4 linked regions of the Arabidopsis thaliana genome follow. The protein of the gene in region 4 binds, or shares a complex with, the protein of the main gene of each other region. Each region holds a gene or a part of one and is shown on either strand. Other genes may lie near its edges.

Region 1 (4,954 bases), about 19 Mb from region 4:
TTCGGCCATGTCTCCGATCACTAACAGTGGTTTATTGGACTTGATTTGAGAAGAATCCGTGGTTGCAGTAGAAGCTTCTAGGGTTTTGAAGCAGCTTGAAGTGGGAGAGAGGAGAGAGAGACGTGAGACACGCACGACACACAGACTCTTCAAGTAGTGGGAGCGTCTTTATAGAAAAGTGAGTGGCGCGACTTACAAATAAAACCGTCCAGCTTCCCGGCCCCAATTTCGTAACTCACAGGCCCATCTGTGTTATTAGAGCAACCCTAATGGTTAAACTTTTAATAGGTTTTTTCCAATTTTTTTAATTTTAAAATTTGAGATTTGAATTTAAGAGATTTTGTTGGTCTCTTAATTTTTCTTGGTTTAATGGTAGAAATTTTTAGTGAGTTTCTTATAGTAAAAAATATTATTAAAATGAAAATTATAAATATTCTATTTTATAAAATTTAATAATTAATACAAATACTAAAATTTTAAACCTACAAGAAATGAATATTGAGAATCGGAATAACAATTAGTAGTTAGTTTGATTCCCACCAAATTTGTGTTATATATGCTCAACCAAATCACCTTTCAATTGTTGATGCATAGCCCGATCACGAACTCGAGCACGAGAGACCATAAAATTACCGAGATTTGAAGACATATCTGTAGAGTAGTTAAAATAACTTGTGAAGAGATGGTTGATTCTGGTAGTATGAATTTAGATGCACCAAACGATTTTTTTCAATTTAGTCTTTGATTTGATTATTACGCCCTATGATGAGGAGCTCGACACATATCATCTTTCATCAACATTGACATCGCCATCGTAAATGGAAATAACGAAATGAAAACAATTCAACCGAAATGAAAAGAAAAAAATTGGGTCATATTTTTCCTTCTCTTCCCTCTCCACCAATAGAAGTTTGCCATGTAGGGTCCCTTTGTTGTTTGAAAAATACCGTAAGAGAGAAACAACCCTCTCAATTAAACTGATTTCTAATTTATTTTGGGCTATATAATTCAAGGGACCAACCCTCAAAAGCCCCTTAGAGGCTGCCGTTGGAGTTGGTCTCAGATACAAGGTTTAATTAGTTTTAACTTGCTCTAAAGCCTCTCTACTATAACTTTATTACATTTTGTTTAGTAACAAATGACATTCCCTCTTTTTCTCCCTTTTTGAAATAAATATTCTTTAGATTTACACAATTTTGTTGTTTTTTAGAACTGTTCATCGAAAAATTTCGTCATATTGTCACTAAACTTTTGTAACTTCTAAGAAATTTCCAATATGTTTTCAAAATTTTACCATATAAATACTAATTTTAAGAGAAAATTTGTATCAATAATATGGATTAAAACATGAAGTTAGATTTTTTTTAAAAAGCTTAAAGCCCAATTTTTTTAAAAAAATTGCAAATAATCAGTCTTGAGAATTGAGCATGTTACCAATTCATGTTATACGGAATTAACACTGAACTATATTTCGTTTAACCGTTAAATTATACATGGTACAAAAAAATTGATGTCGTTTACTACTATATAAATATTGTTGATGCCTTTTACTTGCTTGAGCCCAAGATCAACTCTACCTTCTATTTCCGTAATGAATGACAACATATAATCTTATAACTGTATTAATTTATAATTTTTTTATATGACTCGGTTAATTTCCGCGCGATGCATATTTTGTTTTGAAAAAATATTTTTGATTTGTATTTATGGTTTTATTTTCTTATATTAAATAAATATCAGAAATAGTGAACACACTATTTTCTTATAGTAGGTTTGTATTTTAGTTTATGAGATTAGTGTCATTTTGATACGATGAGTTTTTCTTTGTTTGCACTTTGCACAGGTAAATATGCTTCATAGGATCGGCTGACCTGACCCACTCAAAATTGACTCGATGCGAAGCCACGTAACCGGCAGGGGCATAACTGTAAATAACCATGGAATGTATTTCTCAGACTCTTTCGTGCTATCACTCGCTCATCGTCACCTTCACCTTCACCTACCATTTTTGCCAACAAACGCGAGCAAGAGTTTTGAGCTCCAATGGCGACCTTGTCGATGACTCTGGTGCGTTTAATTTTTCCCTTTTGTACTTTTGATTTTGTTTTACCTTTCCGCTTCTTCTGCTTCTCCTGCTCTAATTTTCGGTTATCATCATAGTCAAATCCGAAGTCGCTCTCAGCTCCTCCACGAAGACTTTCTCCGATCAATACCTCCGCTTTCACATCTACCTCTTTCCGATTGCGCACCAAATCTTCCTTCGATTCAATCTCGTTCTCGTCTTCAACTCCCTTCTCCGCCTCATCGCTCCTCCTTCACACGTCTTATACCAAAAGAAACCACCGCTGTTTCTCTGTTCAATCCAATGCTGAGGTTAGGGATTCTCTCATATCTTGTTAGTCACTGATGTCATTTGATGGAATTGGTTGTTTTATTCAGCTTACTCTTAGTTTTTTTTTTCCATTAGATTTACTAAAAGCTATGGAATCATAATATGATGTGGATTTTGTATTCCAGGTGGTTACTGAACCGCAATCGAAAATAACACACAAGGTGTATTTCGATATAAGTGTTGGCAATCCAGTGGGGAAGTTAGCTGGGAGGATTGTTATTGGATTGTATGGTGATGATGTTCCCCAAACTGTGGAGAACTTTCGTGCTCTATGCACAGGTGAAAAGGGATTTGGCTACAAGGGTTCTACATTCCATCGTGTCATCAGAGATTTCATGATTCAGGGAGGAGACTTTGAGAAGGGCAATGTGAGTTTTTCTGGCTGAATTCCTTGGCAGCACCAGTTTCTTGTTAGCTGACTTGCGGTCCATATTATGTTTCTTTTGATTTACTTTGGTTCATCTTATTTTCTGCCAAATCACAAAGTAAAGTAAGCTGTCTCATATCAGGATGGCAGGATGTTTATTAATTTCTTGGATGTGGTACATAGTATAAGTCAAATCTTTCTCGATAAGGAAGGATGCTTAAGTTCTTACTTGTACGGATTTAGAGTCGCTCTTGAAAGCACATGTTTGGGTACATTAATAGGAAAAAGCCTGACCTTTGGAGAGCTTTCTACAGACAATCTTTCTGATAGCTGGCTCTCTGATTTGTAGATCAGTGGCTTTAGAAGAACAACCCCTGTTAATCTTAGACTTTTGTTCTTTTCTATATAGATAATACCTGGGCTGTAGGGAACTTATATACTGGTTCGTGGGTATGCAACTAGCTGTAGCTCGGTAGAAATATATTGTTATTTTCTGTTTCTGCCCATCTCAGTTACCGAAGATTCTTCTAGTAACTGCTAGGAGAATTCCATAATAATGATACAGAAGTCTAATTGTTGAGCAGGGAACTGGAGGTAAAAGTGTATATGGCCGTACATTCAAGGATGAGAATTTCAAGTGTAAGTCTATCCTTTTTCACTTGTTTCCTTCTTCTTCATTCTCCCCAGCTGTGCTTTAGCATTCATATTTATCAGTGGTAATGCATTTTAACTAAACATTTCTGCATTCTCTTTTTAGCTGAGCTGAGTATAATATATACCAAACCTTCAGTTTTATAAAATTCATGAAAGTAATAATGTGCTATACGCTGCAGTATCCCATGTCGGACCAGGAGTTCTAAGTATGGCAAATGCTGGCCCTAATACAAATGGAAGTCAGTTCTTTATCTGCACTATTAAGGTAAAATCTCCCTCTGGTTAAGGCCTATTGTTAAATTAGAAGTTATACGTAGGCAAGCGAGCATCAACAATAAAGAACACAGGTATTACAGTATATAGAATCCAATAATATAACCTAAAGAGTAGAGTTTTGAAATTGGAAACGAAGAACCATCCAAGCTTTGTTGGGAAATTTAGTGTATATCAAATTAATATGCGATAACGATGTGGACAGACGTCATGGTTGGACGGAAGACATGTGGTGTTCGGGCAAGTAATAGAAGGAATGGAAGTGGTGAAGCTGATAGAGGAACAAGAGACAGACAGAGGAGACCGTCCCAGAAAGAAAGTGGTGATAGCAGACTGTGGTCAACTTCCAATGTCTGAAGCTTAAAAGTAAGATCATTTAACCAAAATCTTGTAGACATGAGATGGAGCTTGTTTTTGCATTTTACAACCCTTTCTTTTGTGTAATGGATTTGTATCCCCTTCTTCCAAAAATTTAAGAAAGAAATAGTATTCCGCTGCCGGGTGTTGAACTCATATTTCATTTCATTGGTTTGTTTCGAAATTAACCATTGTGTTATAGCGGTTCAGTTGCATTACTAAGATACAAAATCTGAAGATTCAAGAGTAGTCGATGCAGTTGTGAAATTGGTCTGTGTAATACAGCGGATTTGTTGGTTTGGTATACGAGCAATTTGTATTTAAAGTCCGATCTCTTCATAAAAAAGTAAGAACAACAATTGAAACAAAAAATATTCCGCTGCCCGGATTTGATCCCGGATTTCATTTTGAGTAGTGAAATTGGCCTGTGTGCTACAGCGGACTTGTTTGATTTATATACGAGGGATTTGTTTTTAAAGTCTGATATCTTATTGAAAACAATACTAATTAAAATAATAAGTATTCCGCTGCCGGGGTTTGATCCCGGATTTCATATTGAGTAGTGAAATTGGCCTGTGTGCTACAGCGGACTTTTTGGTTTTGTATATGAGTGATTTGTATTTAAAGTCTGATATCTTATTGAAAACTAACTAATTGAACCAAAAAGTATTACGCTGCCGAGGTTTGAGCCCGGATTTCAAATTCTGTTGTGAAATTGGCATGTGTGCTACAGCGGACTTGTTGAACATGTATCCGATCAATTTGTATATAAAGTCTGCTTTCAGATTAATGAACAATATAATTACTTGTACCTATCACATGTTTGTATTTTAGTGTTCTTTCTTTTTGGTCAACCTTTTCTAGATACAAGATATCTCTGAATACTAGAAGAGCACACCATAAAAAGAAGA
Region 2 (3,964 bases), on a different chromosome or scaffold from region 4:
TTACTTAAAAATATTGAATGTCAATGTTACGAACTTACCTAAAGATACAAAAATAAAAATACAGAATTTCATATGATAAGATATGAACCATAACGTAATAATAATTAAAAAATCAAGGTAAAATAACTACACTAATATTAGGTAGCAAACAAATAAACTACAACATAAACAACTATTTAGTCATTATAGAGTGATGACCATTGACCATTAAAATTTTTAAAAATAAAAAATAATAAAAGTAAAATAAAAGTAGTAATTGATTTATTTAAATAAGTAATTTTATTTATATTTATATTTTGAAAAAATCATTTAAGAAATGAATTAATGGAGGATTTAACACAATATGAGATTTTTTATTTTCTCTCAATTAATTTTGCTAATTTTAATTTAATCAATATTAAATGACACATGATATTTTCTTATGTGATGATGTGTCACCCATATGGAGAGAGTTGGCCAACTTTCATATATATGATTTCTTTAAAAACCTCATTTATCTTAGAACCCTCCATTGAGGATGGCCTAACATCAGCCTTTAAGAACCTCCGGTACGCTGTAAATTAGCTCATGCACTGTGTTTTTCCTGGAAAATCGAAAAATGAAGATTTGTCTTATGTATTTTCAACATGCTCAAGTAGGCAAGAACCAAAGTTTTACACTTTTTTTGGCCTTAAGATTCATGAGTTGTTGTGAGGGGACCAATTACAGAGATATGACACCGATGAAAAACCACATCACACAACTTTATTCTAGACTCTGTACATCTTTGTGACACAAGCTGCATCACTTACCAAGACTGAATCTAACCTAACACGCGCTTATACATTTATGCAAGTATATGATTTTCCAAGGTCATAACTTAACAAAAAGACAGATCTGCACAGAGAAGATGTGTCTTGTTCTTTAATAGGAGGTTAGACATTGGATTCAGTTGGAAATCATCAATGTTTTAGGTTACAGAAATTATAATCTGAAGCTTGTCAAAAGTAATCACCTGGTGATATACATCACATACATAGTTGTTTGTTCCTTTACCAAACGGGATTGGAGTTGGCTTCATCTTGTATTACTTCCTGGGTAGATCTCAACAAAGTTGATATCATAGAGCAAAGTTGCATTGCCAGGTATGTTGCAGTCACCTGCATAAAGAGTCGATTTATTACTCGAGATACATATCTTACATATACAAGTGAAACTGTTACAGAGGAATTGTGCAAGTACCAGAAAAGCATCCTGCAGGCTCTGGTCCATAAGCTAACTTAGGTGGAATCTGAAGTTTACGCTTTCCGCCTGCAAAATAAAACCGCACCAATATGTTATCAGCCAAATAAAGGACATTGAACAAAGGAAAATACAGTACACTTGCCTACTCGCATAGGAGGTACTCCTTCGCCTCCAAGAATCCCCTGGTCTAGTCCCCTAATTACCTGATCATTTTTGGACATCAAGAGTTTAGATATATAGTTGTTTTGCTCACCCTAATCACAAAGAAGAACATAAGAAACTAACTAACTTCAACAAAGACAAGTGTGAACTTTGCTAGCAATGCAATTGAAGACTATGGAAGCTAACAAAGAGAGAGAGAGACAATGGTTCTTTGTTGTACCTTGCCGACTCCAATTCGCATAGTAAGTGGTCTTGCACGCTTATAGCTACTGTCAAACAACGTTCCATCTGCAAACCTCGCCGTGTAATGGATCTGTGTGTGTGTGACCAACTCTCCAAAGTCTCAAACTTTGAATCAAAAACCCTAAACAGAGGAAATTAGAGAGATGGAGAGATTACATTGACGAGTACGCCACGAGGGGCTTCATCACCAAATCCAACATCGAGATCGCAAAATCCAAGTCCTGATTTTGCGTAGCTGTATTCGCAGAGAGGATCTCCTACAGTGGCGTAGTAGTCAATCCTCGTGGCGTCTGCGTCCAGAGGCGTTAGAGAGAGAATCGAAGAAGCTAGGAACCCTAAACCCACTCCGAAAACGCGTTTCTTGACGGAGAGTTTCGGCTCGCAATCGGAGGAAGAAGAACAGAGACACGAAAAGGACGAGGAAGAAGAAGAAGAAAAGAAGATGGTTGGTCTGAAGGAACGTGTATAGAGAGATTGTGTGAGTGTTAAAGTAGAAATCGCCATTCTTCTTTGAGTCTTCGTTTCGATCTCTGCTTCCTTATCTGCGTGAAGCCAGAGCCTTTGGTCTGAATCTTTTGTCTTTTGAGTGTGCAACGGTACAATGGATATGATTATGGGACCCACCCGTATTTTTTTGGATTTCTATTTTCAACAGAACAAAAATAATAATGAAACTTTTGGAGCCAATCGGCCCACAAAATTGAGAACCCGAATCGAATTATTTGGATAGTAAGATAATGGCCAGACCTAGTTATCACTCAACTATGAAACCGAGTATCATCTGAATACATAGAAAACCCATCAGTGCGACAATAGCTTGATATCATGGTCCACCATAACCACCACCATAATATTAAACCATCATCATCACCCATTATTATATATTCCATTTAGATAGAGATACACATATATGCACATTGTTGATAGTTTATGTAAGTGATGTGTATAGGTTATACAGTGCATTGGTGACTTAAGTGTAACTGGTCCGTGGACAAAAAAATATCAAAATCATTTGAACTTTTGTATACACAAGAACAAGCAAAAGATTTTTCATCAAATGTCATTATTTGTTTTGCGACCATCAATCCATCATCAAATCTTATTGTGAAAAACAAGAATTATTATTTTTAAGAGTTACTATTATACTATACAGTAGCAAATGATATTATTGAAAACCCCGCTTACAAAGAACTGACATTTCATTCTGAAGTGTTGTTAAGCTAGAGACTAGAAAGAGATATAAATTAAGCTGAATATTCTAACGATTGATTGGTTAATGAGAAGACTGAAAAAAGTTAGGAATTTTGTAGACGCATCACATTCAGAGCCGTGACAAGGTCAATGGTTGTCGGAGGCGGTCAAATGAAATTTGCCCCTATTCACAAACAAAGAGACTTATAATAATAGAAGTAAAAGTGTCTATAAAGATAAATTGTCATATGACAAAAGTAGGTCAAAACCAAAATGTATGTATAATTATCATTATTGATTACCTGTTTTTCTTTTGCTTGGGAAATTTTCAAATTTCAAATCTGTTGGTATGGTAAAATGAGAGTCAAGTCAATAAAAATTGACGTTAATGTAGATGATACACCAAAAATGAATAAGCACATGGGAGAACAGTAATTTATCAAATTTCAAATCACCACAAGTCTATAATTAATTAATAATTATATACTATGGTCCCAAAACCATATTCCACAATCCGGCGGCCGTGGAAGATTCCCCAAATTTCGCCACCATTCACTCCAATATTAATTAGGAGAAATATTAACCGTAGTGATCCCAAAACCACGTACTGTATATTGATTGTTGAAAAATTAAAATTTCATATCGCAAGTCATCGTTGTCATTAAAATTTAAAAGTTCTATATAATTATAAGAAAATATACCAAGAAAATCTGATTCAAATGGTGAGATCCATCTACTAACTAATACTTACCAACATATAGTTATGGAAAAAACTAAGATTAACAAATAACAAGCATATTAATTAAGTATTAAATAATTAACAAACCCTACACGAAAAAAGTTTTAAAGTGGTTTATACTGAAATATAGAATATATAAACGAGTAACTTCATCATGCTATATGTGCTATGTTTAATTTGTTGAGTAATCATGTCAAGAGATTAGCTTTGATTTCGGACTTGGACTATACATAAATATATTTATGTTCTCTGGTCGGAAGACGAAGATAACCAAGTACCGTCATTATTATGTTCATGATCGGAGCCACCGTAGCTTCCATTATCACCGGTGTTTATGTTCCCGTTAGCCGCTGCCGTTGTAGTAGGAGGATTAGTAGATGGAGTCTGCATCATACCAAGACCAAA
Region 3 (3,902 bases), on a different chromosome or scaffold from region 4:
TTCCAGTGAAAGGCTTATAGTGCTTAGTGTGCAGACAATTTTGGCTTCTTCACGTGCTATCACCCTTCATTTACTCAAACTAGTCTGAAAGAACAACAAAATCCTTTATCACTTCATCTAGTTCTATTAGCTTATGTGCGTTTGTTATGCGGATGGACTGAAGTTTGCTTGATAAATTATGCTTCATGTTTTTCTTTTGTCATGGGACCATTTATAGTCTTTTGATTATACTCTTAAACTGTTTTCATTTTTAGTGAAATATTTACATCTTAGGAAAAAAAGAAAAAAAAACGTAGTCAAAATGTGCATCGAACAGTTCTAAGGAACACGTCTAAGGAGGATTGAGTCAGGTGCTACATATATATAAGACTTGATAAAAGGGTATTGTTGCAAAAGGTAGTGAAAAAAGGGTAGTTTTGCAAATCTCCCTAGTTTTTATTCCTACTATACTTCCCAAACTAGTGAATTCCGCATTAGTTATCAAAACTACTATTTTGTTCGCTTTGTTTTATATAAATGAGACTATTTGGATTAGCTAGGTAAGCATAACAAAATATAGCTCTAAAACAATGTTTGGATAGCTTAGAAAAAATCCAAAAATAACACACACACAAAAAAGGTGAGGAACAGAACCACTAGACCACTTTATTTTAGTTCAAATGATCTTATAATCTGTAATTGTTAATCTTCCATCTACATATAAACTATATGAATTTTCCAAGTATATACAAAGCTCCTTACCTAGTAAGAAGGATCTTTGAAAACAATCACAAAAGCTATACAACAAACAGCGAATAATACGATCAAAATATCGAACGTGAGAGCAGTCATTGCTTGATCACTAAGCTCCATGTTTCTTCCACCTAACCGGTCAACCATATCAGGTATTGATTCATAGCCCCTAAAATCTTGCTCTTTCGGATCCTCTAGCTTCATTCTCATTTTCTCAGCTTGACGACTCGCAACTTCTTGAGCCAGTGTCCAGTCATAAAACCTCCGAGTCTCTTCATCGCTCAAAACATTGTACACTTCTCTTAATTTCATGAACTTTTCTGAAGCTGTTTTAAGTGGTAGTGAAGTTGTATCTGGATGATACTCTTTAGATAATCTCCGGTACGCAGATTTTATCTCTTCTAGATCAGCATCCGTTGAAACACCTAAGAATCTGAAAATGATTATTGTTACATGTTACAATACATATTGAAAAATAAAAATAAAAAGATATGTAATGAGAATGTTTGTTTTGCTCACTGGTAATGAGAATCAAAAGAGTCTTTGATTAGTTCTGCAAATTTTTCGTCACTAAGGAGATTGGTTTTGTCCTCATCAACCGATTTGGCCGGGTCGGATCTTCCTCCGATCCAGCCTTCGTCCGGGCTTTCCCAGTGGATTCTTGTGTCTACTCCTGGAGATGGTTTTGACGGTTTAGTCGGGCCTTGTGACGCGTATATACGCGTCACTCTTCTTGCTGTTATCCTTCTAAATGCTTTCGTGTCATCCGTGAAATGCGCGCCGTTTTGGATTTTGGGTAGGATAATGCATGAGGTTCGTGCATAGGTAGAAGTTGCATAAGCCATGGCTCTGTGTTGAAGATGGTTTGTTCTTTTTTTTTCTGCCCTTCATGTTTTTGGTTTCTCTTACCGCAGAAACTTGTTCCAGAACCTCATGATATGTGTGGTGTAGATTTTCTTTATATCTTTTGTTGTCCTATCTAGTGTCCATAGGAACAAAAAATTTAAATAATTAAATGTCAACAAAAAAAAAGTATGAAACGTAAAGATATAAGAGACAAAACGTTGAGAAGAGAGGGGCAATGAGAGGAAGAAATAATGTAGAGATAAATGATTTCTTTCTTTGGAAGCGATGTCTAAATATGTTATGCAACAAATGTGTGCGTTTGTAATATATATAGGGTAAAAATAGACAATTGTATCATAATTAGGATATGACCCGCGATATACCGTAAATTAAATTTATTTATTTATTTTTCTTTATCACAAAATATAATTTGTTGTTTGTTGTTGTTTGTGATGATTAATAATTATCGATAAGGTTGTGTATGTTTTTTATTGAGTCACAATTATGATATTAATAAGTCTAATATATGTTATTTTATCTTTTAGGATTTGACTTGTGATAGACCATACCACGGGATAATATTTTATTTTATTCATAATTTGTTATAAAAAAATTATTTAATATAAACTTTTGGTGTTTTCAAATTTAATCCATGGAACATATGTAGTTTAGTAACTTTATATTAAAATTACACATTTAAATGTATCAAAGAAGAATAACATTTAGAGGTGTCAAAGAAGATTAACACTTATACTAAAATGTTGATTTTATTTATTTTTTTGTAACTAAAAATTTGAAATTAAAATTGTATTTGTTATGTTATTATTGTTTGTTTTGTTTACTATTGTATAGTTGTAATTTGATTGTTAATTCTAGGAGTACACCCGTGGTATCCAAATTTTTCCCATCTAAACTCATAGCACCATATAATCTCGTCTCATCCAAACCCGTCCTACCATGTAAACTCGTCTCCTGTAAACCCGTCCCGCCATATAAATCCGTCCCGTGATAACTAAAAATCAAATTGTTCTTTTTCTTTTTAATAATATTTTTATTTAATATACTTCGAGTCGGTTTACAATTTCAATTTAAAAAGAAAAATTGTATAATATATTGAAATTTTAACAATTTCAATCTAATAAGAATCAATATCGGATCGTTTCGAAGATTTTATATCGAATTCTTTGAACAAAAAATAACACAATTTCTTGTTAAATATTTTGTATCTTTTAAATTAATGTATTTCCTATTTGTATATTTTATATTCAATATATTTGGTTTTGATATAAATTAGAAAATCCGTTTAAATAATTATTAAAATTTGAATCCCGAAGATATTTATGTGATTTTTTATAATTTAAAGATTGTTGTTGAGATTTTTTAGTGTCTATTTTTTGTTGCATTTATTTGTTTGCAAGGTCTATCATAATTAAGGTGAAGTTACAAAAAGATCTGTAAAGTATAATATCGTTCACATATTGATTATAGAATTATTTAGATTATTTTTAAAAAGGAAAAAATTACAACATATGCCATATTTTTTCCAATCCTTATGCAATCTGCCATAATTTGCTGGGCCTTACAACTCATGTCATATTTCATACTGAAATATCGATTTTGTCCCTCTCCATTTCTTCTCTATTTTATCTCTCCTTCCTTGAAATCTGTGCGCTTTAACCATATATTATTATCTTCCCGAAGATGAAGCGCTTTTGTCACTCTCTCACTTTCTTTGACAACCTGCACAGATTCTTTACATGTAACTTTCAATTAAATTTGTCTCTCAATTTTATTCATCACAATATTTCTGTTGTATCTAGATCTTGTCCTTGATTTCATCATTTTTTACCATCTATTTTGGTCCACAGATTAGTTGAGCATTATTGTTTTCACCGACACGATTTTTTTTTCTTCTATTGTAAAACAACAAAAATATTCAGTTATTACATATTATCTTGTCTATCATTCGATCTGACTTTGTCCCCGATCCAATTCTATTACTCATTCGATATGAACTTGTCCCGATATAACATATTATTAAAATATGTTAACGTGTAGGTGAAGACAATAACGCTCAACTAATCTGTGGATCAAAATAGATCGCAAAAATTTAAATAAAATTCAAAATTATTAAATGAGAACAATTGCATATAAGATGTAGGATTCATAATAATAGAGCAAGATGGTGAAATCGAGGACAAAACGTAGATGCAAAAGAGAATTTCTATTCGAGGACAAGATCTGAAGACTAAAACAAAAGTCTTGCTCCAATTGTTCTCCGCTAATAGGTAATCATGTCTCCTAACGCATTATATATTACGTTG
Region 4 (3,875 bases):
CCAAAATTACTCAAAGACTTCGTCGTCCTGCTGTTGCTCTTGTTTCCACCAATGGCACCTGGATCACGTTAGAACCCTAATCCCAATCTCTCTCTTTTCAAAATTACGTTCCTCACTCCCTCCTTATCTAACGCATTTGTGTTTTGCAATTTGTTGTTTTATGGCAGGTTTATGAAGTTAAGATTGGATCGTGTTCTGTATGATTCCTTTGAAGCTACCTCTCTTGATGAAGCTTTGGCCTCCAATCCTACCACTCTTGAGTTCGATAAGCCTAAAAATTGGGTGGCGCCATACCCCAAGTATGAACCTGGATGGTGGGATACCTTCTTGCCTAAAGTAACCCAAGAATCTGCAGTATAGAACTTTGCTTTTTGTCTTGTTTTTGCATTCTCCAATCTCAGCTTTGTCTTAGTGCTTCAAAGTTTTGTACTACTGAGCTCATTATCCAAGTCTATATCTTTCCTAGTGTAGCTTCTATTACTCAAAGTTGCCTGTTTGATACGTCACTGACTCAAGGTTAAGCATAGAACTAGACAACAAAAAGCATCCTCACATTTAGCTCCATCAAAGTCTTAAGGGTGACCATATTTGTTGATTTCTCACGAGAATATTGGCAAGAACCTTCAGTTAAAGCTCTAGGTATTAAGTTGTCTAGTCACAGGAGGGCAATATGCCTACTCGCTGAAGAACTTTGCAAAAGATCTGAATTTTTTGGTTTTCAAAACGATTTGTGGACTCGGAACATGTTGTTACTCGTTAGGTCTAGTGACTGGAGTTGATCAAAGTAAGTTGCACATGTTTCTGCTGAATCAAGTGTTCTATGTTGTACTTCTGGATTGCTCTGTAGTCTGTATCTAAGCGTGTCCTATCAATCTTACTGATTATACATACTTTTATTTGTGACAAAGCAGAGTCAGAAATTATCTTTAACTACTCCATGGGAATATACTACCAAGTTACAAATACAGATTTTAACTTTTACTATGGGATGAGTATTGCTACACTTGCGGGAGATGCATTCATGAAAAACTATACACTGGTAGCTCCACTTGTGCCATTAAGTTACTCTTGTGCAGCTAGATTTGCAATTTCTGCTAGAGGCTTCCACACGAACTTTCTCCTGCAGGGGAATTGGTAATGGTCATGCAAATTGCAAACATAGATGATTAGTGTGTATGGTAAGGAATGATATACTCACCAGTTGCCACATTCAGCAATAACCCTGACGTTAGGACGAAGAGAGGGAAGTAAAGCGAGAAATTGAAGCTCCGATTTTGAGAGGACCTGAGTGAAATGGAAATATGAGAAAGAGCATGTGGGAGAACAGATCAAATGAGAGAAACTCAAACCTTTGCTTCGAGGACCCATACAACAAGACCCTTGGCACTAGGGGGAAGAGCAGCGAGCCTGTAATCAACTTCTGGTGGATAATACCATCTTGCTATAGGTTGTTTCCCAAGATGAGCCTAAAAGAAGAGAAGATACATGGTTCACACAAAATTATATTGAAACAAGATTAAAGTAGAAGATGGATGAAAGTAGACATACAGGGCAAACAGGGTAGTTCTTGAGAAGGGTAGTCTCAGGGTCACCAAGGCCACGAGCAGAGATGTCAAGAAAGTAGTAGCCCTGCATTTTGAGACGGTTAAGATAACGACCTTCGTAACCACCCTCATGAGGAGCGTAAATGGCGATTGCCTTGTGTTCTTCCACGTCTTGAAGCCATTGTCCGATGTCCGGCTTCACCAAGTCACCTCCGATGTAGTCAGCTATGCTGCTACATTTCACACCAGTGCTTCTTCTTCTCTTACTCCTAGTATTCACCAAAAAGGAACCAACTGTTTTGATCTTCTTCACTTGCGAGGCTTCAAAACACGGTGGTGCCACACGTTGTATACATATTGCACGGCTTCCCATTTCTTTACTAACAATGACTTCTTGTGGAAGTAGCTCATAATAAACATTGCTTGACGACGATGATGATGAAAGAATGGTGGAGAAACGACGACTCACTCCACAAAGGGATAGACATTAATGGGCTTAAAATGTATTGGGCTTTATTTATTAGGCCCATTAAGCACCGCCGAACGTCGTGACATTGTTAGCTAGCTCGCCGGAGCAAAATTCAGTCTGTGAAACTTTCGGAGAAGAAGGGATGTCGAGAGGATCTCGATTCGTTAGGGCTCCTGGGCTCTTACTCTGTCGCGTTAATCTTCAACCTCAACCCAAAATCCCATCTTTTTCCTACAGTCTTCGCTCTGATTATCGTCTTCATAATGGTTTCTCCAATTACATCAGACGTAACTCAATTCGAACATCTCCGGTTATCAATGCCTTCCTCTCAGATAACTCACCATCCCCGTCACCATCACCATCCCCAATTCGTTTTGTTCAACGGAGTTCAATGCTTAATGGTCGTCTCTTCTCGACTTCTACTCCCAATCCAGACCAAACCACCACCAAGACTAAGGAAATCAAGACAACCTCGTCGGATTCAGACTCAGCTATGGCTGACATGAAGATTCTCCGTACGCTTGCTGGCTATTTGTGGATGAGAGACAATCCAGAATTCCGTTTCAGGGTCATCGCTGCTTTGGGTTTTCTCGTGGGTGCTAAGGTCTTGAATGTCCAAGTCCCTTTCCTCTTCAAATTAGCTGTTGATTGGCTTGCTTCAGCTACCGGTACTGGAGCCTCACTTACCACCTTCGCTGCTACAAACCCAACTCTTCTTACTGTTTTTGCTACTCCTGCTGCTGTTCTCATTGGATACGGGATTGCTCGGACGGGTTCTTCTGCTTTTAATGGTAACTCTCAATAGCTCTAGTTTTCTTTAAAAAAGAATGCACTTTTCACTCTTGGTTGTTACTTTTCATCATCGCAGAACTTCGTACTGCTGTGTTCTCTAAGGTAGCTCTCCGAACAATACGATCTGTTTCTAGAAAGGTATGCTGCTGCTGCTCTAAACTATCTTGTCGATAGAGATATTTTAATGTATGAATCAATTTCATATGGTCGCTTTGCAGGTGTTCTCACATTTACATGATCTTGACCTTCGTTACCACCTAAGGTATCTATCTCTCCTCTCTTACTCTTGTGAGTAGTCTCGCTCATTCCATCTTAGATTCATCTCATCATAACTTCCTTACTTAATTGCTTATGTCCAGTCGAGAAACAGGCGGCTTGAACAGGATTATTGATCGTGGTAGCCGTGCAATAAATTTTATCCTCTCAGCTATGGTTTTCAATGTTGTTCCTACCATATTGGAGGTAAAGCTTGTCTGACCACTTGGTGCTTTCTCATGATCATTGTTTTTTTTCTCATTTTGAATAATTGGCAGTTGCTCATTCATATTTGGATTTCACTATTCATTCGTCTCTAAAAACACTCGACGTAATTAATATGTATCTTTCAGATATCTATGGTATCAGGTATACTGGCATACAAGTTTGGAGCTGCTTTTGCCTGGATTACTTCTCTCTCCGTTGGATCATATATCGTTTTCACATTAGCTGTGACACAGGTACTGTGCCTTTTTCGGTATTCTCTTTTCAATGCCAACTATAATGCAATACTTGCGTTATTATCATGATAATCCAGCAATAACTGTGATATTTTATTTAAGAAACTACTATAGTATACATTGTTCTGGAATTCGTTACTAAGCTTCTCTAATCTTAACTGTATCAACTCTTTGGATCGGCTTAAATCATTCTAGTTGTGATATTAGGTTTGATGATGTATAGAAGGATAGTTGTCTTCATACATTCTCTTCAACTTTCATTATCTTGTTACAAATCTTTTTGGTGTCAAACGCTTTGCTCACGGTTTTATTTATTTTATCCAGTGGCGAACCAAGTTTAGAAAGGCTATGAAC

The links.
Region 1: NdhN (region 4) and Pnsl5 share a complex: the UniProt entries of both Arabidopsis thaliana proteins name them as parts of the chloroplast NDH complex.
Region 2: NdhN (region 4) and PnsL4 share a complex: the UniProt entries of both Arabidopsis thaliana proteins name them as parts of the chloroplast NDH complex.
Region 3: NdhN (region 4) and NdhT share a complex: the UniProt entries of both Arabidopsis thaliana proteins name them as parts of the chloroplast NDH complex.

The regions. Positions count from the first base shown.
Region 1 is NC_003076.8:4,161,810-4,166,763, reverse strand, and holds Pnsl5 (cyclophilin 20-2), read left to right. Parts: upstream 1-1,840; 5' UTR 1,841-2,043; coding exon 2,044-2,067; intron 2,068-2,160; coding exon 2,161-2,373; intron 2,374-2,517; coding exon 2,518-2,760; intron 2,761-3,343; coding exon 3,344-3,398; intron 3,399-3,592; coding exon 3,593-3,678; intron 3,679-3,891; coding exon 3,892-4,050; 3' UTR 4,051-4,390; downstream 4,391-4,954. Other genes in the region: AT5G13130 (Histidine kinase-, DNA gyrase B-, and HSP90-like ATPase family protein), read right to left, coding at 1-9. UniProt on the Arabidopsis thaliana protein: NDH shuttles electrons from NAD(P)H:plastoquinone, via FMN and iron-sulfur (Fe-S) centers, to quinones in the photosynthetic chain and possibly in a chloroplast respiratory chain.
Region 2 is NC_003075.7:18,426,193-18,430,156, forward strand, and holds PnsL4 (FK506-binding protein 16-2), read right to left. Parts: upstream 2,387-3,964; 5' UTR 2,134-2,386; coding exon 1,786-2,133; intron 1,700-1,785; coding exon 1,607-1,699; intron 1,428-1,606; coding exon 1,367-1,427; intron 1,291-1,366; coding exon 1,222-1,290; intron 1,140-1,221; coding exon 1,057-1,139; 3' UTR 565-1,056; downstream 1-564. Other genes in the region: AT4G39720 (VQ motif-containing protein), read right to left, coding at 2,988-3,004, 3,123-3,161, 3,838-3,964. UniProt on the Arabidopsis thaliana protein: NDH shuttles electrons from NAD(P)H:plastoquinone, via FMN and iron-sulfur (Fe-S) centers, to quinones in the photosynthetic chain and possibly in a chloroplast respiratory chain.
Region 3 is NC_003075.7:5,930,576-5,934,477, forward strand, and holds NdhT (Chaperone DnaJ-domain superfamily protein), read right to left. Parts: upstream 1,901-3,902; 5' UTR 1,578-1,900; coding exon 1,252-1,577; intron 1,166-1,251; coding exon 742-1,165; 3' UTR 535-741; downstream 1-534. UniProt on the Arabidopsis thaliana protein: NDH shuttles electrons from NAD(P)H:plastoquinone, via FMN and iron-sulfur (Fe-S) centers, to quinones in the photosynthetic chain and possibly in a chloroplast respiratory chain.
Region 4 is NC_003076.8:23,560,013-23,563,887, forward strand, and holds NdhN (oxidoreductases, acting on NADH or NADPH, quinone or similar compound as acceptor), read right to left. Parts: upstream 1,990-3,875; 5' UTR 1,918-1,989; coding exon 1,549-1,917; intron 1,467-1,548; coding exon 1,350-1,466; coding exon of another isoform or gene 1,344-1,349; exon of another isoform or gene 1,285-1,343; coding exon 1,199-1,284; intron 1,121-1,198; coding exon 1,063-1,120; 3' UTR 556-1,062; downstream 1-555. Other genes in the region: EMB3143 (YCF54), read left to right, coding at 1-67, 168-360; ABCB25 (ABC transporter of the mitochondrion 3), read left to right, coding at 2,156-2,804, 2,882-2,943, 3,024-3,067, 3,165-3,267, 3,414-3,521, 3,846-3,875. UniProt on the Arabidopsis thaliana protein: NDH shuttles electrons from NAD(P)H:plastoquinone, via FMN and iron-sulfur (Fe-S) centers, to quinones in the photosynthetic chain and possibly in a chloroplast respiratory chain.